3 linked regions of the Oreochromis niloticus genome follow. The protein of the gene in region 2 purifies or fractionates together with the protein of the main gene of each other region. This does not show direct contact. Links are inferred from orthologs where the notes say so. Each region holds a gene or a part of one and is shown on either strand. Other genes may lie near its edges.

Region 1 (10,262 bases), on a different chromosome or scaffold from region 2:
TACAGCTTTGAGGGAAAAGCCTCTTAAATTTCTCTAACTAGAAATATATGTAAAAACAAACAAACATATATTGTTGTTTATTGCACTTTTTTGAAATTTATATAGTTACTATGGACTTAATGCATACATATTATTAAAATTTGGGCTATAATGGTTGTATTGATGTATAGCAACTTGAAATGCTCCCACAAAAGGCACTACAGCATGTAAAATGTAAAGATAAGCTCTGGCAGACTTGGTTCTATGGTAGGTCTTAAAGGGTTAAATAGCCTGTGGCAAATATATTAGTGTTGTCTTCTCACTATACATACTCTTAAATTTATGCAAGAGAAAATAAAGTATAAAAAAATGATATTTTTCCCATGAAACTCCGTCTTGTGGTTTTGGTGCTGCTTTACGTGCACCCGGATTTGCGACATGCTTTACGGTAACTCAAAAACAAAGACTGCACCCTCTCCACTCGCTGTTTACAGACTGCATACTTTCCAGATGACCACAGGTCAGGTGGTATATCGTGATATATATCGTTATCGTGATATGAAATAATTCATATTGTGATAAATATTTTTTCCATATCGCCCAGCACTAATCACAAGCTCAGGTTCTTCATGTCCAGTTATTTAAAACTCCATCTTTGTGTAATCAAAGTAAACATCTGTCATGCTGCCCTTCTCTGATTTTTACTGCACAACAAACTTCCCCAAGTTCATTTAAAAAGAACAAAGAAAACAATGTGAATGTGTAAAAAATACAGCGCTGTTCCCTTCAAAGCAAAGGCCGCCCACAGAGCGAGAGGGTTGGTGGCAGTTTGCACTCTCAGAGTGCTTCTTGTTTATTAGCTGTTATTTATTAGGCTGCTATGCGATTGGTTTGGCTTGTTTGTCTGGTTATTTACCTGCAGGACGTCTAAAGATTGCCAGAAAATGTTTTCGAACTGTTTTATTCACCAGAGTTTTTAATGAAACATAGCAGACATTCCTGGAATATCACATGCTTGGAAATTGTGGGAAAAATGTGAAGATTTCTGTTAAATGCGGTAAAACAGACTTCTGACGAATCATGCCTCCATGCAGAGTCAGCCCCTCCCCCCAGAGGCATTTTCTGAGTCCGTTTACTTACAGGAAACTTTATCAGAGGTTTGGAATGATTCTGGGAGTCAAATGTTCTCGATTAAGAAAAACAGGCAGATGTTCTAAAGATGTTCTAAAGAAAATATCACAAACTAATCTGGATGCAGATTATTCTGGACTCAGTTCAGATGGAGTCAAGATGGAATCATCCTCATTTTAATCAGACAGCTGGAAGCACGACCACTTCTCAGGCACAACGTGGTCAAATGAACTCAAAGCAGAGCTCAGCAGCAGTCAGAGGAATACTCTTACTGATGATGATGATGGCCACTGGCTCCTGTATCTTCTGATTTCTTGTAGTTTTAGCTGGAAAATGTGGAAATCAGGAGTCAAACGGAGCGACAAACGTAAACCAAACACACTGGGGGGAAAGAATCCAGGTTCTGTCACCCGGAAAAGAAAAAAAAAACAACCCTTGAGATTTCCAGACATTAGGCATTAAAGGGATTTGGTGTCAAAGTCTGAGGGGTCTTAAGTGACTGGTAAGACTGAAAAATCCAGTGAAAACCCGCCCTCCCCTCTGCGCTGTGGCGATCTGAACATACGAGGCCGTGTCACGCTCGCCTCTTTAAGCCTATTACACTGATGGTTTCTATGAGAGAGGAGAAAAGAACAGGTAACACACCTCCACGCCTGACAGCAGGAATGTAAACGAGCAAACAAGAAAGCACCTCTGGCATCCTGAGCTGTGAGATAACCAAGGTTTTATGACAGGTTAACAAACTGAATGAGGCTTTCTGCTCTGTGACACACTCAGCTCGAGGTTCCCATCCTCAGATTATTCCCGAGAGAAGGAATGATTCCTCACCCAGAGGTAAACTGGTATTTGGAGTGAGTTATTTGGAGGAACAAACCTCACTGGACTGGCTGTTCATTACTGACCCGTTTAATCATTAGCGAGATATCAAAAATTATCTACTACAAACACAAAATGACAAACCATCCAGATGCCAAAAATAATAACGTTGCTAAAAAGTTATTTAAGAGCAGTCTAGGTGGTCTGATTAAACATTAATAAATGAACATGTTCAGGCTGCCAAGAGCTCAAAAATACTTCACTAGCTTCCAGCCGCCTCACTGCAGCAATAAAAGCACCATTACTGGGTAAAAATGAGTTTTTCCCATACTTACCAAAGTATATATATATACATAAAATGCATTCACTCTAATTTACAGATAATAATTCACACAGGTGATTGGCTTTCACTGCAATTAATTAATTATTGTGCACACCTGTGATGCGGATTCATCAGGTAGCCATTACCTTCTGTTTCACCCACCACGACTCCAGCAGCCACCCATTTCATTCACACCTCAGTCACACCAGCTGGAGACTACCCGGCAACCACCGGTTGCTAGGAAATAACAAGTATTCCACCATCCAGCTGTGAGTGGTTGCTGTGAAACCGACTGGTCAGTGTTTCCCTGGTAACCAGCGGTTGCTAGGGAAAAATAAAGTATTCCCGACCAGTTGGCGAGTAGTTTTGGGAGGTTCTATGCAATTGCTTGGTGGTTAGTTGGTGAATGTTTGCAAATGAGTGGGCGTCCTCCAAGCAAACTGCAGGTGATCAAAGCAAGGTAGCAGAGGTTTGCCGATGGCGGTCTCTAGCCGTTGGTCAGCCACTGGGCAACTCTTTTATTGGAAGGTTCATACCAACTCTCCTCCATCCCCTGCTACCACTGATTTTACTATGATGTCTTATCAAATAACAACCTGCCAGAAAACTGGGAACAAGGTCCCTAAAATCAGGTATTACTGGGGTCAGTGTGACTGGCTTTTACCTGCCACAGTTCCCTAAACAGAAAAGCCTCTTCAGCAGGTTTAAATATTGCACATTAAATCCATATCAAGGTACTTCAGTGCAAACATGGTGTGGAACTCTGTATTGACTTCATGAACAGACAACGATGTTTGGCCTAAAAGGCTCACACCACCTCGTTTACCGCATGAATGGAGCCTTTAACACGGCATGTATTTATCACATGTATGTGTTTTGACTATCTGCCAGAGGTCAAAGGTCGACGGCACCTGTTCTCACGCAGTCCTACCTGTCTCTGGGGTCGATCCAGCTCGTGCACTGGTTAATGTGGTCAATGTAGTAAACTTTGCCATCAAAGTCTCTGGCTTCCTCCCAACCGTCAGGTAGTGGCAACTCCTTCCTCGGCATGTCAGGCGAGTCTCCATGTAATGAACTCCTCTCTACTCAGAATCATCGCGAAGAGATACCATCATCATCACCATCACAGTCAGCCTCTACATCTGCAGTTAGTCCCCAAATTCAGAGTCCGGTTGGATTAGGCCATGGTAACAATCCATAATAATCCTCAGATTAACAATCAGACCCTGAACAGGAGGAGGAGGAAGGGGGTAAAACAAACTGTTTCATCAGGCTGCACTTGTGCAACAATTCATCCCGGTGTGAGAGCCTCAAAGCATCCGTAACGTAAACACAGCAGCTGGAGGAGTGTCCAGGACGGTCTGGAGTTTCCCAGGTCCGATGGCAAACTTTGAGGCGGCCTGGAAGAACTTTTTCGGGATGATTATCCACGCTCCGCCGAACACGGACGGGGTCCTGCTGCCGCCGGTGGTCTTGCTGCTCGGGTTTAACGGAAACACACGGGGAGCCCAGTAGAAACCTCCAGATTAACAAAGCGCAGACTTAGAAAAGGGTGGAGCAGCAACCAAAACGCCCTCGCGTTCCTTTAAAACACCCCCAAACCCGCAGAGCTGGGGCTCGGCTCCTCTCCGTGCCTACAGGCCACCATGTTTAGCCGCAGTAACCGACGCTAGCCTCCAGCCTGCGGGACAGCGAACAGTCCGCCCGCCGCTTGGAGAAAGGAGAAAAGTACCGGGAGAATCCACAGCCGTTAAAATCCGCTAAATAGCCGAAGAACTTCTTTGTTATCCCGTAAAAATCCTCCGGTGAAAGCCGGGCAGAGGGAGGCAGCGGCAGCGGCGGCGGTAAAGTCTTCTTCGGTCCCGATGACTTCGCTCGAACCGATCAAGCTAACTGCAGCCACTCAACCCGATTTCCGGTTTCAAAATAAAACATTTGTTGACAAACTCCAGGAAACAAAATAAGACTTCCGGGCAAAACAATATCCGAAAAGTACTTTTACTGATCCCATGAGGGAAATTATTGTTTTAAAGCAGGAGGAAGAAGAATAAAATATACAGGGTTCTATGAATAACACAACATAGTAAAAGGCCTATAGCGATGGTAAAAATTAAATGTAAATACTTTTGGTTATTGTATTGAAATATCACTAAAATTAACAAAATCTATGTTTAAAAAAAAAGAGAATGTTGTAGTGAACTATAGCTAAACGTTAGTTAAAAAGGCTATAACTGAAAAAGTCAAGACTAGGTGTGAGTTAAGTTACTCACTTAAGTTAAGTGAGTAACAAACAAGATTAAAATTCACTAAGAATAAAGACTTGCCTTTAGTGTGGAAAGAACTTACAATAAAACCTACAGTAAAATAGAAATGCACACGTGGCGTGTTTTTATTCAAACAGCTGTTCCGACTTTCCAAAATCTTGCTCCTGACAAACAACTTTCATAATTAAAAATAATAATCAAACATCCACCTGAAACTAGCAAAACTAGCAAATCTACTCTGTAAAGTGAATCAAAGTGAATTATTTTGAAAGCAAAAACTTCAAAAACAAAAATTTCAAATCTCAGTAACTCTGTTTTCATTAAATTATTTTTATTTTTATGGAAGCATTGCTGTTCTACCTTAATTTAATATTTAAATGCAAATTATGCATTTATGCATATTCTATAGTTTGTGGTATAATTTTATTTATGATTTATACTTTTATTCTACTACAACAGTAAGAATCCATTCAGAATTTTGAAAAAAAAGTCCTTATCTTAACCTATTTCATTTTAGATTTTTTATTATATGGATATTTATGGATTATTATTTATTATTACTATATTAATAGTAACAATAACTATTATTATTATTGGTAAATTTTAACCGTTATATTTTGGCTGTTTTGTACTTTTTTAAATTATTTGGTCTAAAAAAAATTAAATCAAACAAATAAACAAAACAAAAATACCCAGATAAACTTCCACATTTATAACTTTTATTATTTTTATTGACAGAAAGTTTCATTGTAGGCTGTGAGTTATGGTGATACTTAAAGTTTTGTTCAGTTTTGTGGCTCATTCATTAGTGTTTTATTCATAACGCCTGGTTTTAAATGTTATTCACTTATTTGTTAGCAGATATTTACAGAGTTAAACCTCCCAGCCTGCCCAAACTTTCAAGCCCACAGCGCCCCCTGGAGGTCAATATTCCGCAGTGCTGAATAGGTTGGGAGAAGTGATGGTTATCATCACCTGCAGATTCTTCCATCGTGCAGATATTTCTTCACACAAGAATCCAACGTCAAGAACAAAGAGTGAAACTGCTTCATAGTGCAGATGTTACCGGCATGGCTGCATTAAGCTTAGGCTGCTGAGGGTTTCCCATGATGCACTGGGTGCATCTTCTTCACTAACTGTGTTTTTATACACCTCTCTACATTTAATCATCAGTTATAATTAATCTCTGGCTCTCTTCCAAAGCATCTCTTTATCCTATCCAGCAGATGGCCCCGCCCCTCCCTGAGCCTGGTTCCGCCCGAGATTTCTTCCTGTTAAAAGGGAGTTTTACCTTCCCACTGTCACCAAAGCGTGTGCTCATAGGAGTCATCTGATTGTTGGGGTTTTCTCAGAATTAAATTGACTTTAACTGAATCTCCAGCTGAAAGGTTCCTCTCTTCTTTAGCCCTGAGAACACGATGTTCACGATTTCCAAACTGAATTTCACGGCAGTGTTTATCTCGCGGCCTTGTTTCTGTTTTTCCTTCACAGAGATTCAAGTGAAACTGAAGGACGCAGTGATGAGCTGCATTCACTGACGTGTTTTTAAGAAATTGATTTCTACCACAGAATCACCACATTTCTGTCTTTGGTGCTGTGCTGCCTGAAGGCCTGAGGCTCACAGCCTGGTTTTTAACCTTGTGTATGAAGATTTCTCTGAATCTTAACGACTTTATGTACCATGAATGAATCATGCACAGTCTTCCACAGAGAGCTGAAACCCTCCCTATATTTATCTGTAAAAACTCTGGGCGAAGCTCTTCTTCATGTCCAGTCATGGTTTTAATTCACATCATCAGTTATTTTAATTTTTGTTTGTTTTTAGCATTAAACAAATTAAACAACAGTTTTCTATTGCTTAGCTGTTGCTAAATTCATAATGAACATCATGTGACATATTTTTTTTTGGACTATGTCCAATCAAAAGATTTGGATTAATTCATTTGCATATCAATGTTTTATGTTCTGTTTGCAAACAGAGCTGCAGTTCAGTACGCAAATTTTTGAATATTTATATAGCACCAAGCTTTGCACAGTAACATCAATACCTGCTGTGTTTGACAGTGAAACCCAAACATCCTAACATTTTACAATTCTGATGCCTTCAAGCGCTGTAGGAAAAAGTCCACATTAGCTCCCACTGCACTAATCTGGTCGTCTAAATCACTAGAATGAGCAGATATGACCCAGAACTAGTGCCCTAATACCTGTTACCCATGATTATCATTATTATTATTATCACAGATTTCAGTTCAGTTCAGTTCATTTTTATTTCAAACATATACATTCACCAACATTTCATAATATCATTCCATGCAGTTGTTTAAAAAGGAGTAGGCAGAAGTATATACTTATTTAGCCCTACCCCCTTATGTTTACATCTTAATCATTTCCTCATCATCTAAATTTGAACAACAAAAACTTATACAAAGATTTCAACTTAGAACATAACGTCACAAAAAAATATTTTCTCATATTCAACTAAAACTATGTTTAGATTTACTGATTTGCAAAAGAAAATAAACATCACTTTGACTGCTGTCTTGGGTTAATTGCATTTTATTTTTATTTTATTTTGTATTTTTCATTTTATTTAGTTTTATTTTAAACTGGTTTATATCACTACTGGCCTTTTATAAAGGGGAAAACGGCGCTGGTTCTCCATCATTATCCCGGCTGCTGTGTCACTCTTTTGGCACTGCTGTATTCAGGAAGCAGTGAATAAAGCTGTGCCTGCTGTGGGATGCAGGATCAGGCCTCCATGAAGCCTCTGTTACTGTGGAAAAAAAGAAAACGCCCTCACTAACAGACGTGTTTTCAGCTTCAGTGCTTTCTTAATGAAGCACTTTGCTAGATTTGTGCTGCTTTTTCAGGAGGAAATATTCAAACACTGTACTTCCCTTCATAATTGTTTTATATGAGAGGAATAAAATATCCACTAAATTTGAAGTGAAGCATGAAATATATTTCTTTTTAATGTTATTGTAATTGGTTACAGCAACAGTAAATCCCACAGTGCACTTCACTGTGGGGTACATCACTGTGGGGTACTGCTGCTTTTCTTGTTGCTTGTTTTGCAGAAGACATCTGCAAAACAAGCAAGATGACTGTACATGGAGGAAGACTTTTATTACAGTTTATAAACACCTATCACATATGTAAGGTCATGTTTTTAGAGATGGATTTATGGAGATGACACAGACATTAAGGTTTTGTATTGTTGTTTAAATGTCACTTGATTTAAGCACGTTTTAAAGAGAACACACGGCGGCCTTACACATGTGGAGCTGTGTTCAGGGCTTCATTTTGTTTGGAATAAAACAATTATTTAGGTCCTTAAGGTTGTTCTGTACAGGTCATAACATTAAAAAATGAATAACAGATTTAATTTAATGTTATTTTGACAATATGCATTAAATATGTGTTATTTTTATAATAAATTAAAATTAAAGTATATTTGAATAAAATTAAAAATCTCCACATCACTATAAATTATGAATTCAGTAATAATTATTGCTATAATATCAACATTTGTAATATAATTTAATATATTGCTACAATATTGCAATACTTTTTCTGAAATGTTGGAAATAAATGAATACATTTTTTATTAATGAGTTAATTTTAATAAATAAGTTTTACTCTAAAAAAAAAAAGTAGGAGAGACTGTTTCAATATTGTGCAGTGATTCGATGTTATTAAATCAATATTAATCTAAGAAATTCTACAGCATGATAAGAGTATTTATTCATTTAGTAATTCAGTAAGATTGTTAGAATAAAATGTAAATTTTCTTTATAAATAATTCATAATTAGTGTTTTTAAAGTTTCTTTTTACTATTTTAAAATAATGTTAAAAATTAAATATTAGTATCTGATGTACCAGTATATATACACAAATACTAGCTGTCTACCTTTATATTGGCCTTGGGATTTAAAACAGCTGATAAGTGAAAAAGTAAAGAAGGAATTAAAGAAGAACTTTTAAATCACGTTATGAATGTTTTTTGCTGCATAGTCTGGTTTGTCCACCAGGGAGTGCGCTAGAACTTCGCTGTTTGCAACAGGTGCTTGGAACGTTACAAATACAATAATCAGCTGATCCGAGCAGAATTTGTGTAAATAGTTATCCATGACTTCTAACAAGAAAAGAAGACTCTTTATAAGCTGCACTGTTATCTCATTAATAACACCAAACAACAAAATATGAGTGGAATCTGTTTATGTTTCATGTGTCTAAAAGTCGAAGTCTTCGGCAGATATATTGGAGGCTTAAATCACCAAATATCGGTATCAGTCGGGCTCTCGTACAAATATGCATATTCACAAAATTCAATAATTTTATATTATTATAACGCAATAATAAATAAATGTATCAACGTTAGTAGGCCAGGAACAAATAAAATCATCATATAAATCATTGGATTATGACAGATTAAAAAAGAAAAAAGTACATTTTGTTCTTAATCAGTGATCAAAGTAGTCACAGTGTGCTGACCGTCAGTGTATTAGTTAAACGCGCTTGCACAGAGGAGAGGGGAAATTTCCGAGCTGAGCCTGAACGCAGCATTTTTTCTGCGTCTGGGAACAAAAACATCGGAGCGGCTCGGTCACATGTAGCGCGCCCAGCCGCAGCACGAGCGCGGAGCCGCGAGGAACGAGGAAGTCAGTCGAGCCGTTGGCGTCCAGGAACAAGCAGCAGCGGTGCGTCCGGCTCCCGTCCCCGGCTCCCTCCGCCACCTCACCCGCCACCTATGGTTCTCCTCCGGCACATTTCCATCGCCCTGACCGCCGCCGTGGCTGCCCTCGGCTCCGCGCTCTTCATCGCGCTGAACTACTTCTACAAGAGGCGGATATGGTCCCCGCAGGCGGAGTACTGCACCATCAAAGAGGTGGGAGGGCAGGTTACTCAGGTTACTCACCTTCTGAGTTTGGTCATTTTAGACGTTTAATCGATTTAATTTAAATTTAGCTGAACTGTTTAACTTGGAGAGGAGCGCGTTCAGGGACCTCTGACTGAGGCGAGGAGACGCTGCAGAGTCATTAGAGCTGCTGGAGATGTGCTGATGCTTGGTGGAGATGTGCCGGTGGCATTATGAGAAAACAGAAAGATGAAGAAGGAGAAAAGAAGGAGGTGGTGCTGATAATGAAGCAGTTGCTGATAATTAATGATGATGATGATGGTGGTGATGAAGGTGGGGGAATGTAGTGAGCATGATTTGAAGACTTTGATGTAATGCAATTCATTTTATATTAACAGGACAGCATTATGTAACGTGACAGCTCCAGAGGTGCATTGATCGCCCCCTGGTGGGTGGTTGAACGGTAGGTCAAAAGCCCCGCCCCTTCCACATTAGTAGCCATGGACACGAGTGATATTTAAGACATGGGGTCACCCACCCTTGACCGAAGGAAGCTGTTCTACTTCCTGTTAATCCCACTGTACAGAAATCGGGTGCAGTTAAGACAGAGCTTCAGCAGGGGCGACTCGTGAGCTACTCCTCATTAATTATACCGTCACGGAGCTACAGCGATATTTTATCTATGGTGCTTTAATGTATTAGTAAACGAGAGAAATCATCCAGAGATGGAAACTGTTTACATCTTAAACTGGGACCTCAGGTGGCCATTTGAGGAACTGCAGGTTCGGAAACTTTTGTGCTAGCTTAATTTTTTTAGATTCATGTTTTTTGTTTTTAGGGGGGTTTTTTGGCCAAAGATTTAAAAGTACGCTTAAGTAAATTCTTCTC
Region 2 (10,980 bases):
GAACAGTCCCACATCACAGGAAGAATCACATGTTTTTAAATTCTGGGCTGTTCAGAGGTGGCGGGGGTCAAACCTGTTAAGTGTGGGCGGCAGGGCTAGCAGTGACTGACACCTAGCATGAAAAACACCTGGTGGAGTGTGGGAGACTTGGACAGGTCGCAGCACGCTCTCTACTCTGTTGTTGTCTGCTGGGCTGAGAGAACAGAGCGCTCACAGAGAGCACAAATCTGACAAAAGCATCCGTGCATGACTGAATACACTCACCACATGCACAAGAGATACTCCTCACAGTCATACGCTGCACCTACAGCCAGCCGTTATATTATTACTTTACAGTAACATCACTTTTGTTAGCTTTTTATAGACTTTTTTTTTAAACAATAGCTGCTTTCTTGCTAAGTACCGGTAAGTGATTTATGTTCATTCATGAGCATATCTGCTCCTAGGTAGAAGTTCAGTATTGTTACTGATACCGACCCAGCACAGCTGATTGGTAAAACTTTAATACTTCTTTAGAACTAGCTTAGCAGTACCACCACGGGAGGTTTTAAAAAGTGCAGTTCCTTGAGTGGCCACTTGAGGCATTCTTTAAAAGCCTGCAAATCCCCATAGGCTCACATGTTATAATGTCCAACTTTACAGCAGAAATAAACATGTTTACAGCCTGGTAGAAGAAACAGTTTCGGTCTCTATTGCGCATCTCATCCTTCATGGGGGGTGTTTTTTAATGGCTCGCCCATTTGCACTTTTTTGGGGCTCAAAGTTAGGGGCATGATCATTTTAATGATCATATCATTCGCGATAAAGACTGTATTCGTTTTTATGTGACCCAAGCCCAGATACCTTAAAAGGAGCTACTTCACAAATTTCAAACAAAGCTCTTTACAAACTATGTGAAAAAAAAACTGCTCCCGCTAAAGATGAAGACAACAAACTTGCTCCACCACATGAAGCAAAAAACATGACATCTAATACAAGCAGGCTACAAAGGAGGAGATGCTAGCAGCCAGTGATGTGCAACCCAAATAAGGGCTGGTCGATATAACGATATATATCGGATGACGATATAAAAACGTCTATCGTTTCATTTTACGCTATCGTTTGTTTCGTGGTGTCGCAAAATAAACTGTTTACGGCAATATTTTTTCATCGTTTTGATGGTCACTGTAGTGGCTATATTAATTTCGTAATTTCTCTCTCTCTCTCTTATATTTAATATAACCACACTACGGACGGACAAGCGCTTGTTTTTATGCCTTGCGGTTAGCAACAATGACGGTAACACCATCGCGTGTCCGCTTGTTTATGTTCCACATAAACCCTTCACAATAAAGCTCAAGATCCTGTTGAGACTTTTCAAAATAAACTCAATCACGTGAAAGAGCAGATTATTTACGGATGAGAAGCAAAACAAGAGCCGCCAGGTGCTAAAAAACAAACCTTAGACTCAAACGTTAGAACAGGCTTTTCCCCGCAGCACGCCGTGTAATAAATACTCACAAAGAAAACGGCGGCCTTACAACTTATGTCTAAAAATGTATAGTTTTATGCATCCGTTAAAATACTCGACTCCAGCTACATGACGCGCAGCTGGAAACACTTCCCGCAAGTCGAGCTGCCCGAGATTCACATAATTTACAGAAAATGTTACATTTTTGTGATTTATATCGTTATCGGGACGATAGAATTCTTATATCGGGATATGAGATTTTGGTCATATCGCACAGCCCTAACCCAAATGTAAACAAATGTTGACAATGACAGTATTGTGCAAAATCCTGAAAAGGTACACTGTTAAGTTACTTTAATTCTTGTTAAAGTGAACTGTTAAGCAGTCACGTACTACTTTGACTTATAATTTGCAGGAAAACATTACCTCGGTTACTTTTGTGCTTACATTTGACTTATGCTGTGTCACTTGATGTTATATTGCGTCTCTGCTTTAATGCTGCTGTTGCTGCTGGCACCTTGTGGGAATAGATTCACACTTCACTAATTCACCAAAGGTCTTGTGGCAAAGAAAGAAACTGAAAAGCTTATTCATGCATTTATTTTCAGTAGGCTAGATTACTGTAATGGAGTTTTTACTGGTCTTAATAAAACATCAATTAATCAGCTGCAGCTTTTTCAAAATGCTGAAAATGGATCATATTACATAAATTTTGAACTCGTTGCATTGGCTTCCTGTGTGTAAAAGGACTGATTTTAGAATTCTGCTAATGGTTTATAAAGCATAAATATATTGCTGACCTACTTGAGGGCTATGAGGCTTCTGGGCCTCTTAGGTCCTCAGGAACAGGTTTACTTGGAATAGAAGAAAACAAGATGAGGCAGGATTTAGTGTGGGTCATTTGTGGAATAAACTCCCCTCACACCTGCAGTGTGCAGAATCCATCAGCTATTGTAAATTCAGGATTAGAAACGTCTTGTTTTCTTTAGCTTTTTTTCCCCAAAAAGTCTTGTTTTTCTAAACTGCTCCAAAATCTCCCAATGTATATCTGTATGTCGGAGCTACTGTAGTGATACATCATTAAAATGGTGTTAAAAGCTGACACGATTGTACGCTTGTGTCTTCAACCCAGGTTACAGAAATCGAGAGGTACACGACCGGCCGAAGTGACAACAATGCAACATAATTTTCTGTGTGGGCTTAAAAGAACCGTAACAACCCATCTAAGAAGTCAGAGCTCCACCTAAACATCCAAATACGGTCACTTCTCACACCAAAACGGCAACATAGTCAAAGGCAAACCTAGCATTGAGGCTTCAAAACAGGACTTCACAGACCTGTGAAGTAGGTGACATAGAGGCGCTTACATCCATCATTTAAATACAGTCTTTGTATACAACTAAAGTTAAAAGCATTGCAAGGACAAGAAATAACTGCTAAGTTTTTCCAATACAAAAAGTATATTTAAAGGTAGAGTATTAGCATGTAAGTTGATATAGGGGACAATTATTTACACACTGAAACACTTGATTTATGAAAAATACACTACAGTGTCATTACTATTAGATGTGAGACTTTTGGTTGCACATGTGAGTGTTTTATATTGGGTATGGCCAAAGAAGCTATCAGCAGATTAGCACCTATTTTCATTGCAGATTAGTTTCATCTGTATTTAAGTCAATGCCTTGGACATGTAATCACTTTTAATCACAAAAAAGAGGTCATAGCCTTCTTCACCCCTTCCATTTTCTACTGCAGTGCAGCTATGGTGTAAAATAACAAGTGAACCACAAGCTGACTACGAAGGAATTCTATGCATTTCTTCCACTTTGGTTAAACTGTTATAACAATAACTACAATAACTGCTGCTGCTGCTGCTGCTGCTGCTGCCTGTTTTTTCCCCCTCTCTTCCTGTGGTACAGTGTGAGCACTTGACCAAAATTACAGGTATGTTTGCACCACACCGTAATCAAATGGCCTCTAGACTCAAATGACCATTGGCTACACAAACAATAGCCACTTTTCCTTTTAGACGCAGGCTCACATTAAGCAGTAAACACCTATTATGATCTTACCGGGCTGACCTTCAACAAAACACCCCTTTTGGGAATTAACATTTCAGCAACTTTCCTTGAATAAAAAGCAGGAAAGAGAGTGCCAAAAATGGCACTGAAAGACAAACTAGATTTGTGACTCTCTACTCCACAAAAGAGAAGCATGGATGGAGGTTTCTACTCTGCCTTTTAGTCCTTTAAAAATCTCCACCAGTGTTTTAAAACTGCTGTGTACACCCAAGCCACTTGCTCGGGCACCATGTAATTTACGCAGCATGCCTTTGAGCTTATAAAGACAGCCAGATGTGTGTGTGTGTGTGTGTGTGTGTGTGTGTGTACACCCTACGCCTCCAGCAGCTATGCTGTGTTGCCTTTACTCCCCTTTTACAGTAATGCTAGTTGTCCAAGGTGCATGTTCAAACACATTTTTCTTTTCTACACAAACAAGTACACACAGTTTGCAGCCAGGGTGTGAGGACATCAGTCCATCATCAGCTTATAGAGGAAGGCTGCTCATACTCAAACACACCATTCAGCCACCAAGCTTGTTTAATACAATTCAACGAGGTGAATTTACAGATGCATTCTCTGTCAGGGATTATGGAAATGTAATGTACACATGCAAAAATGACAAATAAATGAGGAAGGGCCAGAAATTCCGGGTGTTGCGCACTCCACATGGCATGAGCCCACTGCCCAAACCCAAACTGGATCTTACAGAGGGCTCCATTGGGTCTCCAAAGCCCAGTTCAGTCGTGTAATTTCATGATTACCTCATTAACTCCGGGGAATCTTTCAGCGGTTTTCCAGCCACACACAGGTTCTCTAACTTCCCAGTTTTCTCTGGAATCGCACAGACTCCCATCTTATTAGATGTAGAGGGGGATTTAGAGGCTCTGTCTGTGATGGTGATGCATGTTTATGTGCAGGAGAAAGGGGGGCATTAAAATAGTTTGGATCTCCTTTTTGCCCTACGTGGCCAAGTCACTTGACCTACATCTAAGCACTCCTACTGTGGACTTTACAAGAGTTTGGATCTACTTCCAGATCTGCAGGAAACCATGAAGAGCAAAGCTGAACTCTTTTTGACTGAGGTAGATTTTCGCTTTTTTCCCCCCCGTTAAAAGAGAACTCACCCCTGATCCTGCGCTACATGCCGATTTCTTCTCCCAGCTGAAGAAACTCTTCTTTGCTTGTCGAGGTTTGGAACTCACGGCAAACAGATAATCCACCTTAAGTTATTTAACTAACTTTAAAAAATATAAAAAAAAATATAAAAATCCGGCATGAACAAGAAAAATCTGCGTCTTCTCACATCAAAATGAGCTCAACCTTAACAACAACCAAAAAAGTCGCAGAGGCAGACCAAATCTTGAGCCTCCTTCTTCTCGCAGTTTTGTTGCCTTTTATTTTTTTCTAGGAAACACAAACAGTCACAAAAAGTTGTCCGACTTGGATAAAGCGACGTGGTCTTCTCTCGCTGGGACTCTTCGTATGTTTATAGTGGTCCCTCTAGTCCAATGGAGGCGTTCAGGACAGGCGGACAGAGCCGCTTGCTGCAGCTACGTTCAAAAGCTGAAGACTGCATCGGAAAAATGAGCCTTACGTTGAACGTCCCAAGAGGCTGAAGTTCGAGATAATAGTCAAAGAGTCCGAGAGGAAAAACCTATTAATTAATTGTCAAATTAAAGTTTTTCTTTTTATTGAGTGTATTTGTTATTTTTGTAATCATATGTGAGTATTTCTTTTTTTAATTAATTTATTTATAACATTTTTCAAATTAAGTAATCAAAGGAAAGACTCGTCCATTGAATTTCTCTAAACTGTACTCAGAAGCAGTAAGGTGGGAATTTGGCAGGCCTGCTTGTAATTATGACAATACAGTTTTAGTGGATTGCAGTGATTGCCCACGACCTTTATAAAAGCTTTAATTATAATAAGTCTCAGTAAGTTGGTGAAAAATTGCAGTTTTACGTTTAGAATACAATTGCTTGGATAGACTCCAGCAGCCTAATCTGAGGCAGGCTTTCTTACATTAAAATAAGATAGGACACAATAATCTAATCTAATTTTGACAAAACACAATAATACAAAGCATCGAAAATGGATTATCTTACTTGTGGAGTTTTAAAGTTTTGGGGGGGGGGGGTTGTATTGTTAAATTATTACTGGGGCAGCACGGTGGCACGGTGGTTAGCACTGTTGCCGCACAGATCCTGAGTTCAATTCCAACATCAGGCCGGGGTCTTTCTGTGTGGAGTTTGCATGTTCTCCCCGTGCGTGGGTTCGCTCCGGGTACTCCGGCTTCCTCCCACAGTCCAAAGACATGCAGCTTGTGGGGATAGGTTAATTGGATAATCCAAATTGCCACTAGGTGTGAATGTGCGAGTGAATGTGAGTGTGAATGGTTGTCTGTCCCTGTATGTTGGCCCTGCGACAGACTGGCGACCTGTCCAGGGTGTACCCCGCTTCTCGCCCTATGACAGCTGGGATAGGCTCCAGCGCCCCCCGCGACCCTGAAAAGGATAAGCGGAAGCGAATGGATGGATGGATGGAAATTATTACTGCTCTTGCTTGAGTAAGCTATTAAAAAAAACACGAGACAACTGGGCTATGAGACTGGACGTGCCGTTTTCGCCGCTCATTTGCACCCCCCCCCCCCACACACACACACACGCACACACACGCACACACACACGCACACACCTCAGAGGTCGCACTGTGAAAGAGGACCTGAACGCAACAGCGCCGTCCCCTCAGGAGCGCCGCCCCCCTCCACTCTGACATCAGACCTGAGGAATGCGAGGAATCCCGGGCTCCTGGGAGAAGTCCTCTTCGTTTAATGGTTTTCCAGGGGGGACAGAGGTGACTAAATGTCGAACAAAGGAGTCCCCTCACTTATTTATGTCAGATCTTTTGAGTTACAGCCATGGTGGAGCGATAATGAACTTTTTTTTCAAATGCATGTCGACTATATTCAGATTTCATTAAATATAAACAACTGTTTTGACCTAAGACTGATAGACTTAAAATTATACAGTAATGTATAGAGCAATGACTGCCTGGATAACAAACTGCAAGTGACTTTGAGGATATTATAAAGGAAGAATATATCTTGTTTAATGTGCCTCACCCACTAGCTTCATGCCGTTACAAGCCCGAGTGACCATTTCAAAGCATACTCCATAAATATCACCGCTGATGATCAGTCTTTGCATCCTACAAGCACACCACTGCGGAATATTTCATTATACCACAGGAGAGGAAAAATACTTTTTTTTTTTAAAAAAGTGCAGATTCATTATTAACATCCCTCACAGCTTTATTAAAGAGGTATTCAGCTGAGCTCCTCTTTGGGAGGATCTGAGACTCAGTAAGAGCAATCAAAGTGCAGTAGAGTCACCTCAAAATATTGTTTTCACATAAAAGAAGCAAAATTCTCGGCTTCTTTTTATTTACTCTAAACTAAAATAAGGCTTATTAGTTGGGCAGAAAATAGCACTAATTCAAAGGTAGCACAAGCCATCTTATTTGTGACCGAATTGCAGCCTCTTGTGGCTCAAAAGCAATTGACAGCCAGCAGGAGCAGAGAACCAGGATCTTAGATGATACTAGTTAAATCATTCAAAAAATTTGAAATAAGTGAAAAAGGTAAGCTAAGAAAATAAGGACATGACCTTGTCCTTGTCCATCTGACAACTAGTCGTAATAAAACTGATTCTAATTTTGAAACAGGTGTTGATTTTGATTGATATATTAGAACAGATCATCTTTAATCCTAAACCCAGCCTTTGGAACTTCCAGTAACCTGAAATGAATTATTGCTTCAGTGCAAATATTGTGTTACACCTGTGGCATTTAACAGCCTACCACGTTATGCGTGCAGCAACTGCAGTTTTGTGGGACGGACAGCTTTGAATATGCAGCGTAACAAAAGCCCTGCATTTAAGAATTATGTAGGAAATATTTCTACTGAGAAACCTGACAGTTTAAGCTGTTGCCTTGAGGTCCAAATTCCATCCTCCATCCTTCTCCTGCTTTACCGGCATATTAAACGTCTATTCTTCCGAGCAGTAATGATAAACTATGGTATCATGGGGGCGTAATTATTAGCAGCAGATGCATTTTGCATTTTGCTTCTGGAACGACAGATGAAATATCACACTGCCAACTTCTCAAACTTTATAGATACAACCAAGAAAAAAAAACATTTAAAAAAATCACAAGCCCCTAAGACTTACACAGAAATGTTTTTAAAGTAGATGAGGAATTACTAACAAAGTTCTTTGGAATATCAAACTAAAAAATACAGGAAATGCTCTGCCGGGATTGTTTCTCTGTCATGTGTGAAAAATTCAGCACGATGATCTCAGCCGAGTTCTGATGATCAACAAGCTGATAAAAGAGATTCTTGAAAACAACAACAATGTTCAAAAGTTGAAGGAAACATTAAACACGTCCATGCATTCCAACAACAACAAAAAAAGGTCTAAAATTATTGAAGCACTGAACAGTTCAAGTGTAAGAGTTTTCAACAGGCCTTTAAAAAGGACACTGCAGCTTCAAGAGCTCCAAGTGAAACAATATGTTCTTTATTTTCTATTTCAGGCATTTTGGGGGAAAGGCCTTGCCTTTTGCTTCCTGAGATTTCCTGCGGGAGATGCCTTGGGAGCGCAAAATACTATCACTGCTTCATTCCATGCTACAGTTTGAAACACTCCTGAATTCAACAGAAGTGTTGTAATATTTGCTGATGAGGCTCCTGTGAACATTACATGGATCAACTGAAGGGTCGGGTGCATCTCTCAAGTCCTGTGTCGAGTCTTTCGTGGATTTTTTTCTATTCCTATTTATTCCTGATGCTGCGCATCTGCTACTCTGTGGTCAGTGCTGTTGCCCACAGCAGGGAAGTGTCATGGTCCCAGCTGGCCCTGGAGAGGCCTTTTTTCTTCTGTCTCAGTCTCAGTGTTAGTGGTGGGTTGGATTTTCTGTCCCTTTTTGGGATTCCTGGGCTTCAGTTGGGCATTTAAGGCAGCATTTAAGGACTGGCTGGTGCATATATTCCTTATCAAATCATTGTCACCAATGGGGGTAATCAGGCCCTGTGCCGAACTCATTTGTCCTGTTTAGAATATGCTATCAGTAATCTGATTCTCTTGTTTGCCCTTTAGTTAACTGAAGCTGGTTTATTCAGTAAGATCTCTCCTGGAAGATCTCATCAAGAAGGACTGCGTGCTTCACACTGGCTGGTATCCTTGGTTTGGAAAAGGACTCTTTCATTGTCATTGTACACGTATAACGCAATTGTGGAGTTACGTTTCTAAAATTCTGTTCCACCCATTTAATTTGATTCAACTTTTGCCATTTAACTTACCAGGATCTCCTCTTGTCTCCCTCTCCTGCAGAAAGAATCCCCTGTCATGTTCCTGTTGAGCTCCCCTTACCTGAGTTAATTATTTCTGTTTCAGTATTACCTATGAATACAATCTGTAAACTGCTGCCAGTGTCTGAGTCCAGTATTTGAGTCTACGTTCTTGTTAACCGTGACAGGAGGTTCTGGGTTTGAACCTGGGCTTGGTGGAAGTGATCTGGAGTTTACTCTGGGAACACTGGTTGCCATCAAAACATGCCATGTTAATTCACTGCACAGGTTTCCCTCTGCTACGGTTCTAGGCGTGGGTTAAATGCAGAAAATTAAATTCCCTGCTGGGTTCAATAGAGAGCATCCTGTCTTAAGTTCAGAAAAATGTTGAGCCAGAGAACGACATCAGAATCAAAGAAAATCAGAACCACGTGTACAATGTGGAAAGAACGCCACATAATAAACTGGTTTAGATACTTCAGAATATCAGATTTTCACTTCTGCAGTAATGCTAAGAGTCAAGAAATGTGTAATTCTGATTACTACCAGTTTATTTTTCTTTCAAATAAACTCAAAATGCAACTTAATGGAAGAGATGAGAAGGCTTGAAACCAAAGTTTTATTGTGAAAGTATATTTTGGTTCATAATTTAATTTGAAAAGATATCGAATTTTAATTGTGTATTTCCTATATTCATTACACGTAAAGTAAAACATTTTTAGCCTTTTTTCAAATTATGGCTCACAGCTCATGAAAATCAGAAATCCACTAATACCCAGGGGACTAGTTTAGCTCACTGGATCAAGCAGGTGGCCCATATGCAACCAGGGTAACGCAGAGGCCTGGGTTTGAATTAGCTCTGAGGCAATTTGCTGCACCTGGTCCACATGTTTTTTTTCCAGCTAGCCTGTATTCTCTCCACTGTACAATCAAATAAATGCTAAAAAAAAAACACAAAAAAACCAAACAAAATACATATAAAAAAGAAAGAAAGAATTTCAGTAATCCAGCCTAGTTCTGTACCTGCAACCACAGTCACGAGGAAGACGGCTGACTTGACAGTGGCCCAGATGATCAACAGTCGCCACAAAGAGGGTAAGCCACAGAAGATCATTGCTAAATAGGCTGGCTGTTCACAAAGTGCTCTATTGAAGCATATTAATGGAAAGTTGACTGGTAGTGAAAAATGTGGAAGGAAAAAGTGCACAAGCAGCAGCCAAGAAGTTGGCAGCACTCCACAAGGAGTGACTGAGGATAGTGTCAGTCCATCCAGAGCCACAACACACGGGTGTCTTCAGGAAAGGAGCTGCAGCTGTCTCGATCTTAGACCAGCGTCCTACCTGGGCTAAGGAGAAAAAGAAATGGATTGTGATCCAAAACCTCTTTTCAAATTAAAAACAGAAAGAAAAGAGAAAAGGAAAAGCAGAGACAAGCAGAAGTCCAGTGTGTTCACACTCTTTGTGATGATTTGGGAAGCCACGTTTTATCAAATCCAAAGTCAACACAGCTACCAGGGGATTTCTCAGGACTTCATGCTTCCATCAGCAGACAAGCTTGCTTGCAATGTTGATTTCTTTTTCCAGAAGTACTTGGCAGCTGTAAGGTACAGGAAGATGAGGAACACCTGACCCTAAAATAAGGACAGGTCTCAATCAAAGCAACCTGGGCTTCAGTAACACCACAGCAGTATATGAAAGTTCACCTTGTTGAATTAAATTATAAATACATGTATCTTATTGTGAAAGGAAACACGAGGGGCTGAAAAACATCAGTTTTCATTCTGCTGAGGGTCACCTGTAGACTGAGGTTTTTTCACATGCAGTTTGGCTGTTTTAGACATAATTGTGACTGATGGTAAATTGACTCAAACTCACCCAATCTTACATGACCTTTCAACACCCTTGCCTTGTTGGATCGATAAGCCCATAAATGGACTGGACATCAGTGTGTTTTCACTCTATTAGAGCCGTGGAGAACTCAGGCCAATATTTCACTTGAATATGTTGCGCAATGTTTAATTTAATCTGTGTTATGTGTCATGTTTGATCTTGATTATTTAAGTGTTTGTTGTAATTTAAGATATTATGCTTGGTAAATTCGTCCCGCTTTGTTGA
Region 3 (10,061 bases), on a different chromosome or scaffold from region 2:
TTAGAACAACAGTGCATGTCCCCTTGTCAGTTGGTAATATGGTGATGTTTTGGTCTTCACTCAGGGATGTGTTGGCCTTCTCTTATTGTACTGTGAGGTTAGACGGAGGAATTCAGGTTGTGTTAATTTGTTAATCCTCACTGTTTCCAAGACTGTGAAAAGATCCACTATTTGCAGCTGTTGTGGAGAAATGCCAAATTGGCTTTGGCTAGCACATTCTTTCAGGTTCACTGAGGTTCCTTTCCACCCACTTATCCTGTCTTTGGTTTGGTTGTCTTCCTGTTCTTGTCCAAATGGTCTAGGTGTTGGTAAGTTTTTGTTTGCAATGTATGGAACTTCCAAAATCGTTCTTTTCCTTTAATGTCTTGTGGAAAGTTTGCATTGTACACAAACTAATGGATCACTAAAGTCAATGTCATTTCATGGACATTTTTTATTAACTACGTTACATTACAGAGTACTAGCTACTTTTTGAGTAATCACTATTTGAATGTCTCCCTCACTGAATAAACTTGAGCTGTGTAAGCAGTCAGACAAGTGCAAGTGAAAAAATGAAAGAACTTTGGTTTGCAGGAGCTTAAGTTGAGCATCTTATTGAAGTTAAAGAGCCAGAGCAATAACTACAAGCAGCAACACATATGACCTCTGCAAGCACAAAGGAGAATAGTCGAGTGTTGAGGTGTGTTACTTGTGGGGACAGAAGTAAGAAAAGACTTACCTAGGCCATTCTCACAGTCTGTAAACTCCATGGAATGAACAGCTCGGTCGACTCCGTATGGACCCATTAGTGTCCTGTTAGAGGTGAATGGATAAAAAGGAAGCGGGAAGCAGGGAAGGGAAGGAGAGTGAGGAAGAAAAAGATGACGAAATAGGGAAAAAAAACCCAAAATCCAACTATTTTCTTTCACAGGCTGCACAGCTACACAGTCAGAATCCATAGGAGCACTATAGTGTTGGGAACTTAACCTCAGATAGCTTATCCTGACTAGGCCTGAGACTTTGTCACCACACAAGTCAAGGAGTGTGTCTTGAGTGTGTGCTGCAGATACTTGGTTGTGCAAATGAGAGTCTTCTATACATTATGTATATACATTACTGTCAAAAATCTTTCTCAAAATATGAACACAAAGGTGTATTTTTCCTCACACTGCTGTTTGAAGACAAGACCAAATACAGCTGTGACAGTAGCAGAGGAAGCAGAAATGAGACGGCAGCATTGGGTAACTCAAAAGCATCTTGGTAAGATCTCACACAGTGAGCAATAATCTCTGAGAGATAGAGCTGGCACACATGTTGTTCATCTTATGCAATAATGCCGCACAAGAGGACTGCACACTGCAGCTTTCCCCTTTTTTCTTCATTACTAATCCTCATCTAACACTTGCAAAGCATCCCTTTGCTTCCCTCATTAGACACTACAAAAGACAATGCAGAATACTGCAAATGAACAAACCATTTTTGGTATCTGGAACGATGTCTTTTTAGCACTTTATTTTAGTTTGCAGTTCCCTTCCTGTCTACACCCAAATGAAAAAAAAAGGACTATCAACATTTTAGCTGCAGAGGGTTCACCACTGCTGCCAGTAAAAACAATGAGGCTGAGGAAACTCTGAACTCCGGGCTTTATGAATGTCGCAGCAGAATGCAGCTCTGTGTACAGAATAACAGTCTTCAAGCTTCAAATTCTTTAGATGATATTCTGATAGCCCAGCTCATTGGCTGATAACACAAAGACGCAACATTCAGCATGGAGCTGGACATTTTAACATCATCTGTTAAGGATGGATATAGAAAGTCTCACACTAGAACACCTGAATTCACTGTTGTTCTTTGTATTTTTGTGGTTTGGATTCATTTTACTGCATTGGGTTGTTTTCGATCAATGGTCATGACAATTTGCATATTAATGATCAAGAAACTGACCTCACAGCCCGTTGTTCAGTGGTGCTAGTTTCAGTTTTTATGCAAATATACTGTTTATAAGGTTGGGGAAACCTGCACTTGAATGAGTGACGAAACGTTTATCCTACTGAAAATGCTACATCCACATTTTCCAAAAAGAATTTTGGATTTGTATTCCTCGGACCAGAGATCGGTTTTCCTCTTTGCTACAGACCATTTTAAATGAGCTTCGGTCCAGAGAATCATTGATCATATTCACATATGGCTTCTTCTTTGCAGGGTGGAACTTTAACCTGCATGTGTGGACAGTACGGCGAGTTGTGGTCCCACACAGGAAGTGTTTCTGAGCCCATGCATCGATTTCCACCACACAATTGTGCCTGTTTTTAATGCAATGCTGCTTGAAGGACCAAAGATCGCAAACAAAAAAAAAGAAAACGAAAGAAAATTGTGAAACTGCACCACAGTTTGTTGGCAGTTTTTTCATCAGCCTCTGCCTCTCCACGACACTCTTTTCATACCCAGCTGTGTTACTTACTAGTTAACCTAATTAGCTGCTAAATGTTACTCCAGCTGTTTCTTTTCAGTACCACTTACTTAGTTTTTGTTGCCCTGACCCAATTTTTTTGAAAGATGTTGATGCCATTTTCATGAAATACAGTCCTGATCAAAAGTTTAAGACCACTTGAAAAATGGCAAAAAATCCTATTTTGCATGGTTGGATCTTAACAAGGTTCCAAGTAGAGCTTCAACATGCAACAAGAAGAAATGGGAGTGAGGCAAAATATTTTTTGATCATGCAGTTTATTGAAAACAACACTTTCAAGTGGTCTTAAACTTTTGATCGGGACTGTAGTAAAATGTTTCAGTTTAAACATTTGATGCTTTCTCTATGTTCTATTGTGAATAAAATGTGTTTTTACACCACATCCCAACTTTTTTGGAATTGTGGTTGTACAAAGGTCACATTGGCCAGGAGTTGGAAAGCAGCCACGATGGTTCACGTAACATCTCCATATATATTTTAGAATCCAGCTGGTAAAATCCACAAAAAGCATTAAACCTCAAAACCAGCACAGGTCAGCTGATCAGTCATTTCCTGCCACTGAAGAGCTACAAAGGTTCCCCCCTTTCCCCAGTCCCAGTTTAACCCTCAGGTCTACAGGTACCGTTTGCTGAGTAATTGTCATAAAAAAAAAAAAATTGAGTGCACTGAGTTATATCACATTCAGACCAATACAGTGGCAAAAGTTAACCTGATGGGCATGACCACAGACAACATAACGGATGGATGAGGCCAATGTGAATCACCGACCGCTTTGTTTCCAACCTGGATATGGCAGTGAGGGGTGGATCCAGCTATGAAACCACCTGCTCATTGGTTAATGCCTTGTGTGTTTCCAGAGGTGACAGCAGATGCCCGTTTACCCATGTAACACTACAGGACTTACAGTCTTTTTGCAACTACAGCTACTAACCCCTGAATCCAGGTTCATACAGTCTATGGGCATGACAGGAGTCACGAATACACTCGCTGAAGCTTGGTGCCATTCAAAAACCTCAGTGGTTGTGTTGTTAGACACACATCGATGAAGTATAACTTGTGGCATGAGAAACATACTGTAAACATAACTGCACAATTCCCTGAAGCAGCTCCACACTGCCGACTGCATCATTCACCCTAACGGATAAAAAGTCGATGAGACAAGCTTCCAAAAGTCTGTCAGTAAATGTTCCAACTTTGGTAAAACATATCAACAAATCAGCAACATTTAAGGACAAAATCAAAGAGCCACACACAATAAAAGCACAGATTCAATATTAAATGTCCACAATGGAACCCGCTAATGCTCCCAACATGTTCATGAGAGCTGACAAAGTGCCTCATAGAGTCTTTTCACAGTAAACTTGGGACAGCACCTGGTCTCCGGTGTGGAGCTCATCCGTTTGTAGCACATGCAAGAAAGATCACTGCATCATCTCACCCGGAAAACTAGAACATATCGATAAGCCTGAGAGAAGAGCATGAAGCACGGCTCTGCCTGAGACACGAAGCAGAAACATGCGCCTGTGTTACAGACGGACAGTCAGCGTCACGGTTACCAGATAAAGCCCGAGAAGACACGCGGTGTGTTTGGTTTCCACGGGACAGGGCTATGGTTAGTAAACGCGTCTCCGTGTTTACAGAGTTCAGCTGTCAGCATCGTGTCACTCCACCGCTGCTGTCACACAGACTAACCTCCACCTGCACACACAACCGCTCGCTTTTACCTGCTGATGATCACAGCTCCTTTGTACATGACTGAAAACGTTGGCATGTTGACATGGAGCCCGGTTCTCCGGTGAGACAGGCGGAGGCTCGGTCGCAGCGTTCAGCCTTCAGCCAGCAGCCACATGACGGTGCACAGGCACTAATTCCAGCGAAGCAGCCTGTGCGCTCCAAACATCTCCACCTTCAGCCACACGGTTAATCTCTTACATAACTAAAGTCGGTGGAAAATGAAAAAAAAAAACCCCCTCTGAGGCTGGAAATGATTCGGTGGTTTGTTTCTCACACATTTCTCTCCCCACTTGTCATTTTCTCTTGCTGTGGCCGTGCAGCGGCTTTATTTTTGTTGCGGGGAACAGCTCCATTCAACGGAATCTGGCTTTTCCCCTCTCTGTGGATGTTTGTGCTACTTTTATGGTAACGTGTTTAATTGTGTTTGGCCACGTTACGCTTGAACATTAGTCTTTCCATAGATTCTACCCACACTTCCATTTGTATCAACCACAGCTTCTTTTAAGACGATATTGGCCATTGCGCTAACAAGTTGTTGAGCCAAAGAGAGGGAGGGGCTTACGAGCCTTTAAACACATTAATGCACAAGTGCCCTACTCTCCATTTAGAAACTGCAATTTAATCCCCAGATGACATCCATTACTCTGCCTTCATCTTTTGTCATTCAGACCTTCCGTGCTGTCATCTTCACTACTCAAACAACGATTCTTCATTTTGGCTGTATTTTGATCAGCTGATGTTACAAAAATGCGAGAAAGAAAAAGAAAAGTTACCACAGTGCTGTCTCAGCTCAGTGCTGCTAGGAAGGGTTTTTGGTTAGAGACAGCCTCATCCGTGATCCCTAAAATGAATTTAATGCAAAGACAAAATCAATCAATCAAATGGAGGCGACAACGCTTAAAGATACAACACTGATCACTGTAACTGAGCTGTTTGTTCAAAGTGATCAAAGCAAAAGAAATGTGCATACAGCCGAGCAATCCCACACTGATTCCACCCAGCAACATGACACAGGTGAAACCTGCTGAACCTGCCTGTGTTTGGATTCACTGTTACATTACACTACATTCATAAATGGGGGAGCGTTCCAGTATACACTCTGTGGTTTCTTTTTGATTGAATTTGGTGTGTAACTGTTCTAGATTTGAGGTGTAATTTTCTATCAGTAAAATATCCTTACTGGTAGGTACAGTACAAGTGGAGGTTTGAATAGAAAAAACACACTAAGTATATTTTTTAAGGTTCTTGCCTCTAAAATTCCCTGAAATTATCATTACATGTAGATCCTTACAGTGTCATTTACCAATGTCCAAAGCCACTTAATAATTCAAAAATACATAAACATTCTTTCTCATATGGTAATTTTAGTTGCTGAAAGTTACCCCCCTAAACGAATAAAGAAATCATGGTGACTGGTCAGTAATTACACCATTATCTGTGAGCTGTATTATGAAGTGCTGCCCCCAAATAAAGTTGCTGAGTGACACGGGCCTGAGGCTGCAGGAGGTCCAAGCAGAAGAAATCTTTGACACAAACGATAAATAACAGAAAAATTCGTAGGAACGTTTCCTGGAGCACCGGGTGCTGAGATATTTGTGAGCAGCTTCAGCCTGAGCCACGAAAACAGCTGAAAACCTACCTGGCAAATCCTAGAGGCACTTTGAGCCTTTGAAGCATGTCTGTGCTGTGGTGCAAAAGCCTGGATGTTAGCTTGTGGTTGTTAACATATACTCTGCATATTTCCAATCATGATGCACCGCAGCTGCCAAGCAGATATGGAGAGATGATATTGATGAAGACATGATAAGCTTATGCACACAAATCCATATGGCACAAGCACGTGCTAAATATAGGCCTCTGCAAGAAGGCTGTTCAAATACTCCAAGCACAGATCAGACTGTATGACACACACAGAGTTGTTACATCTCAGTGGGTTTATTTCTTGCTTTGTGTGTGAAACAGACTGCAGTCTGCTTTGCTTCAATCTGTTAAAACTTTTTAAATGTGTATTGCTATTACTTCACACTAAAGCTGCCCTAATTATCTTTACGTGTTTTCTCTTTCATTCCTGCTTCTTTACATTTTCTTCTTAACTCACTGAGTTCTAGTTACTGTGCATACTAACGTTTATTAGTTCCTAACTTTACATCAGTCTCTGAGCTTCTTCCTTTAGTTAACATTACTTCCTTTTTCTGTTTCTTGCATTTAGCTTTACTTCCTGCCTGTGGTTGTGTTGATTGTGTACACCTGTATCTAATTACCATTAGCATTTACTCTGTGTGTATAGTCCTGTTTGCCTCTGTTGAACAGTTTCTATTCTACGGTCTGTGTGTTTTTGGACTTTAACTTTCTAACAAAAGCTTGTTCTTGTGTTCTTGGAGCCTGCCGTCATGTCTGCAGTTGGTTCCTCAGTATTTTTGATATACAACCTGCATGTTTCCTGGAAAGTACATTTAAACTTTTAGTCTGTGCAACATAGATTGTTTTGGGAGACGTTTTTGCCATGTTAGGCTAAACACAAATTGATAAAAATACCAACAGATAAACAAAAGACACCCAGGCGTGTTCAGCATAAATAACACATTAATGATGTTTGAAGCATAAATCCTATCACTGATGTTACCATTACCAGCACTAAACTGCTATGTTAGTTGAATGTCCCCACTGACCTCTGTAGTCTTATTTAACACTCTGATTTTTAGGTTTTAAATCTGTTTTTGTTTTTTGTGAATCGGATGTCACTGATGGGATAAAGAGCCAAGATATGAATTGGAGTTTCACATCCATGTTTGAGGCTTGGCTGTGCGGAGATATCGCCTGCATGGGTTCATTTAGACACAGTAAATAGCTGTGCTCAGTGGGGCAAACAGGAGCCCAGAGAGAGCCAGCCTGGCAAGTCTGAAAAATGAACTCGGGTCTGTAACTTAGACACAGTTATCCTTATTACTGCTGCAGTATGGGGACTAGCCAGGCTTCCTCAGAGATCAGTTTCAGAGACTACTCAAAATGAATGAAAATGCAGAAGTGTATACTCAGTGCATTTCAGTTCAGGTGACTAAGATTTAAACCAGTCAGCTTATATTAGGCTGTTATATTGAACGATACTCATGCACTAATAAAAGATTCTATCTGTCCATGAACAAAATGACATAAACAAGCTAAATTTAATGAAACCAGTTGACGAGCAGATTAATCTGGTGTGGATCCACATCATATTCTTTAAAAGGACAGCAGTGTGGTTATTGATGCTGATAGACCCTGACGCTCTCTGAATTCTGTTCCGACTACACGCTGGATTCATGAATTCAGTCCGTGCTGGTAAATTCATCTTTTAAGCTTTTCAAAAACTGATCCTAGCCCAGTCTGACTATCACGTGGACTCACGTGTGATTACACACTCAGGTTTACAAGACCTAGTTAAAGATATTGTTATTAAAACAAAAAAGAACCTTACTGTTCAATCTTTCAGTTTTTCAGTTCAATAAAATATACCATTATTACAGTGACAGCAGAGATATAGTAAAAACAGTTCAAAACCATTAAACCAGTGAGTTGTCTAAAGCCAGGACAAGGTTTGTGATGTTTTTCAGCTGTTGGGATTAAAGAAACTGGAGTCTTTCCAGGCCCTTACCAAACCCTGAGGTCTTGTACTGACTCCAGAGACAGGATTTGGGAGCACAGATGTAAGCTTGGCTAATACTTGACTGCAGTGGTAGCCAACCTGAGATTTGTCTCCAAATGTGAAGCATCTCATCCTTTAGAGCCTGCACCAGGCAAGGCTTCACAGTCCCAGACACTTTCCACAAAACACAAACAGACCCTCATCACTAACTCGGCTGTCCACGCTGCATACAGTTCCCAAGCACTGGGAATACATTGGCTTTTAAACTGTAAATGCGGGCCAATAAATCCAGAGTTATGATAAAAAATATACATAAGCCTTGCTTTTCTTTAAATACTGTCGTCATGGTTTTTTTGTGTGTTTTTTAATTTTTTTAAGCGTTTTCTAAGGACAGCAAGAAAACAGTAAAGAAAGAAAAAAGCCACCTCTTTCCTATCGATGGGAAATTGTACCATTTTTTAAAAAAAAAGTCACGTGGGATTTGGTTGTTTAGGAAGAGGGGAAAGTTTTGGGAGTGAGGGTAACGGCAGCGAGTGAGAGAGCGAGCGAGTGAGAGAGAGAGTTTTTAGATGTGGGAGATTTGTGATGTTCAGCGTGGAGTGTATCATTAGTGTGTTGTGTTGTGTAGTCGTTGTTTTGTTTTGTGTGTCAGTGAGGGCACTAATGAATGTCACAAAAGCACATTTGTAATGTAAACACTGTCACTAAGTAGAAAACCAGCGGAGTGATACACCTGCTGCTGTCAGGCCTGCAGGTTTCTCCCTGTGCTGCTCTCCTCTGTCTTTTGTTACTGGCACACATCATTTGTGGGGCATCTTATTGCGAAACCTGATTGTTCTCTCATTTTAGTTTTAGTAATATTTTTAAATGGTTGTACAAAAGAAACCCTGCCAGGTGTATTGGCTGCATTTATAGATAAATAGTTGTATATGTTTACAAAATGTGTGCTTCACTTTTGAAAATGTACAATTTATATTTGCATTTCATGTTATAAAAATAATTTACTCAACATGTGTGTGTGGGGGGGGGGGGGGGGGGGGGGGTTACGGTAAAAAAAATACTACTAGGAATTTAAGTACGTTGTGTGATTTCAGATCAGTAATATTAATGCAGTATGTCAGTGAAAAAACAACTAAATTCAGACACATGAGGTTGAGCTGAAAAGAATGATACCAAACAAGGCAAGGGGAAAAAATACATTGAAACAATTTGAGGGTGAAATACAAACGTAAACTCAAAAGGAGTCAAAATGTCCGGTTGTATTTCAGACCTCAGTGGGTTCATCCAACAAATCATGAAAAATTAGGTTTAAATTTTTGTTCATGACAGTGCAGATTTCTGACATTTTGTGAAAAAAAACAGTGTGAAACTTAAGTTAGTCCTGTGTTTGTAAATGAACCGCCCCATGTTGTGTAGCTTTCTACATACTCATTGGGCTACATATTTATTTATTATATAGGCTGTACTGTAGATAAAATCAAAACTCACATGTTTTATGCAACTAAAGTGTTTAATTATGTGGGCTACAGACAATAATTAAGTTATAGACTATATTTATATGAAAAACATGTATATTTACTGCATTTGAATTATTTTAACCATATGTAACCACCTGCGTATGTGTTTGAAAAAAAAAGGCCTTGATTTTGCCACCCCATTTGATTTCTTTGCCACCCTAAGAAAATTTCTCTAGATCTGCCCCTGACTGTGAGAAATGATCAGGTGTGCTGTGGAACATTATCTGGTTCCACCTGATTGGTACTCTAAGCGAGCGGCGTGAGTAACGGGCAGAACAATGACATTCTCTACCACTAGAGGGCAGTACAACTACCTGCTCTAATAAAATGGGTTGCTGACTGGCAGTAAAACAGAAGAAGACGAGGAAGAAATAACATAATAGTCATGCTGTGAGTGAGACGATGCAGTGTGTAATAGCAACAGATAAATATTTGAAAAGAAAAAGTGTTCAGTCTGACCTGGTCCTGGAGAAAACTCTGACCCAGGTGAAGGCCCGAGCATGAGTAGTGGTTAGAAGGAAGCAACAAAGGTAAACTGGGGACAAACTGAGCCAGTTCTGCTATATCTGGTGGAAGACTTATCAGTATGCTTTTGGTGACATTTCTGTTTGGTGGTGTGCCGTGGGATTTTTCTAAAGTGAAATATGGACCGTGGCTCCAAACGGCTGGGAAACACTGGTGTAAACACACTGCATACTTCACTAAAACATCCCATTAGTTGTAAAGTTGCACATCTGAG

Evidence for each region.
Region 1: the proteins of tyrosine-protein phosphatase non-receptor type 14 (region 2) and wwc1 purify together in Homo sapiens (affinity purification with mass spectrometry; 7 studies listed by BioGRID and IntAct, counting the BioPlex papers as one, with this or other methods). This does not show direct contact. The link is inferred for Oreochromis niloticus from reciprocal best matches to the Homo sapiens genes PTPN14 and WWC1.
Region 3: the proteins of tyrosine-protein phosphatase non-receptor type 14 (region 2) and si:dkeyp-72e1.9 purify together in Homo sapiens (affinity purification with mass spectrometry; 3 studies listed by BioGRID and IntAct, counting the BioPlex papers as one, with this or other methods). This does not show direct contact. The link is inferred for Oreochromis niloticus from reciprocal best matches to the Homo sapiens genes PTPN14 and STXBP4.

Annotation. Positions count from the first base shown.
Region 1 is NC_031975.2:30,432,777-30,443,038, reverse strand, and holds the start of wwc1 (protein KIBRA), read right to left. Parts: upstream 4,156-10,262; 5' UTR 3,299-4,155; coding exon 3,180-3,298; intron 1-3,179. Other genes in the region: arl10 (ADP-ribosylation factor-like 10), read left to right, coding at 9,267-9,404. UniProt on the Homo sapiens protein: Regulator of the Hippo signaling pathway, also known as the Salvador-Warts-Hippo (SWH) pathway.
Region 2 is NC_031980.2:10,013,774-10,024,753, forward strand, and holds the start of tyrosine-protein phosphatase non-receptor type 14, read right to left. Parts: upstream 5,054-10,980; 5' UTR 4,641-5,053; intron 1-4,640. UniProt on the Homo sapiens protein: Protein tyrosine phosphatase which may play a role in the regulation of lymphangiogenesis, cell-cell adhesion, cell-matrix adhesion, cell migration, cell growth and also regulates TGF-beta gene expression, thereby modulating epithelial-mesenchymal transition.
Region 3 is NC_031969.2:440,900-450,960, forward strand, and holds the start of si:dkeyp-72e1.9 (syntaxin-binding protein 4), read right to left. Parts: upstream 4,137-10,061; 5' UTR 4,107-4,136; coding exon 4,006-4,106; intron 793-4,005; coding exon 719-792; intron 1-718. UniProt on the Homo sapiens protein: Plays a role in the translocation of transport vesicles from the cytoplasm to the plasma membrane. Inhibits the translocation of SLC2A4 from intracellular vesicles to the plasma membrane by STX4A binding and preventing the interaction between STX4A and VAMP2.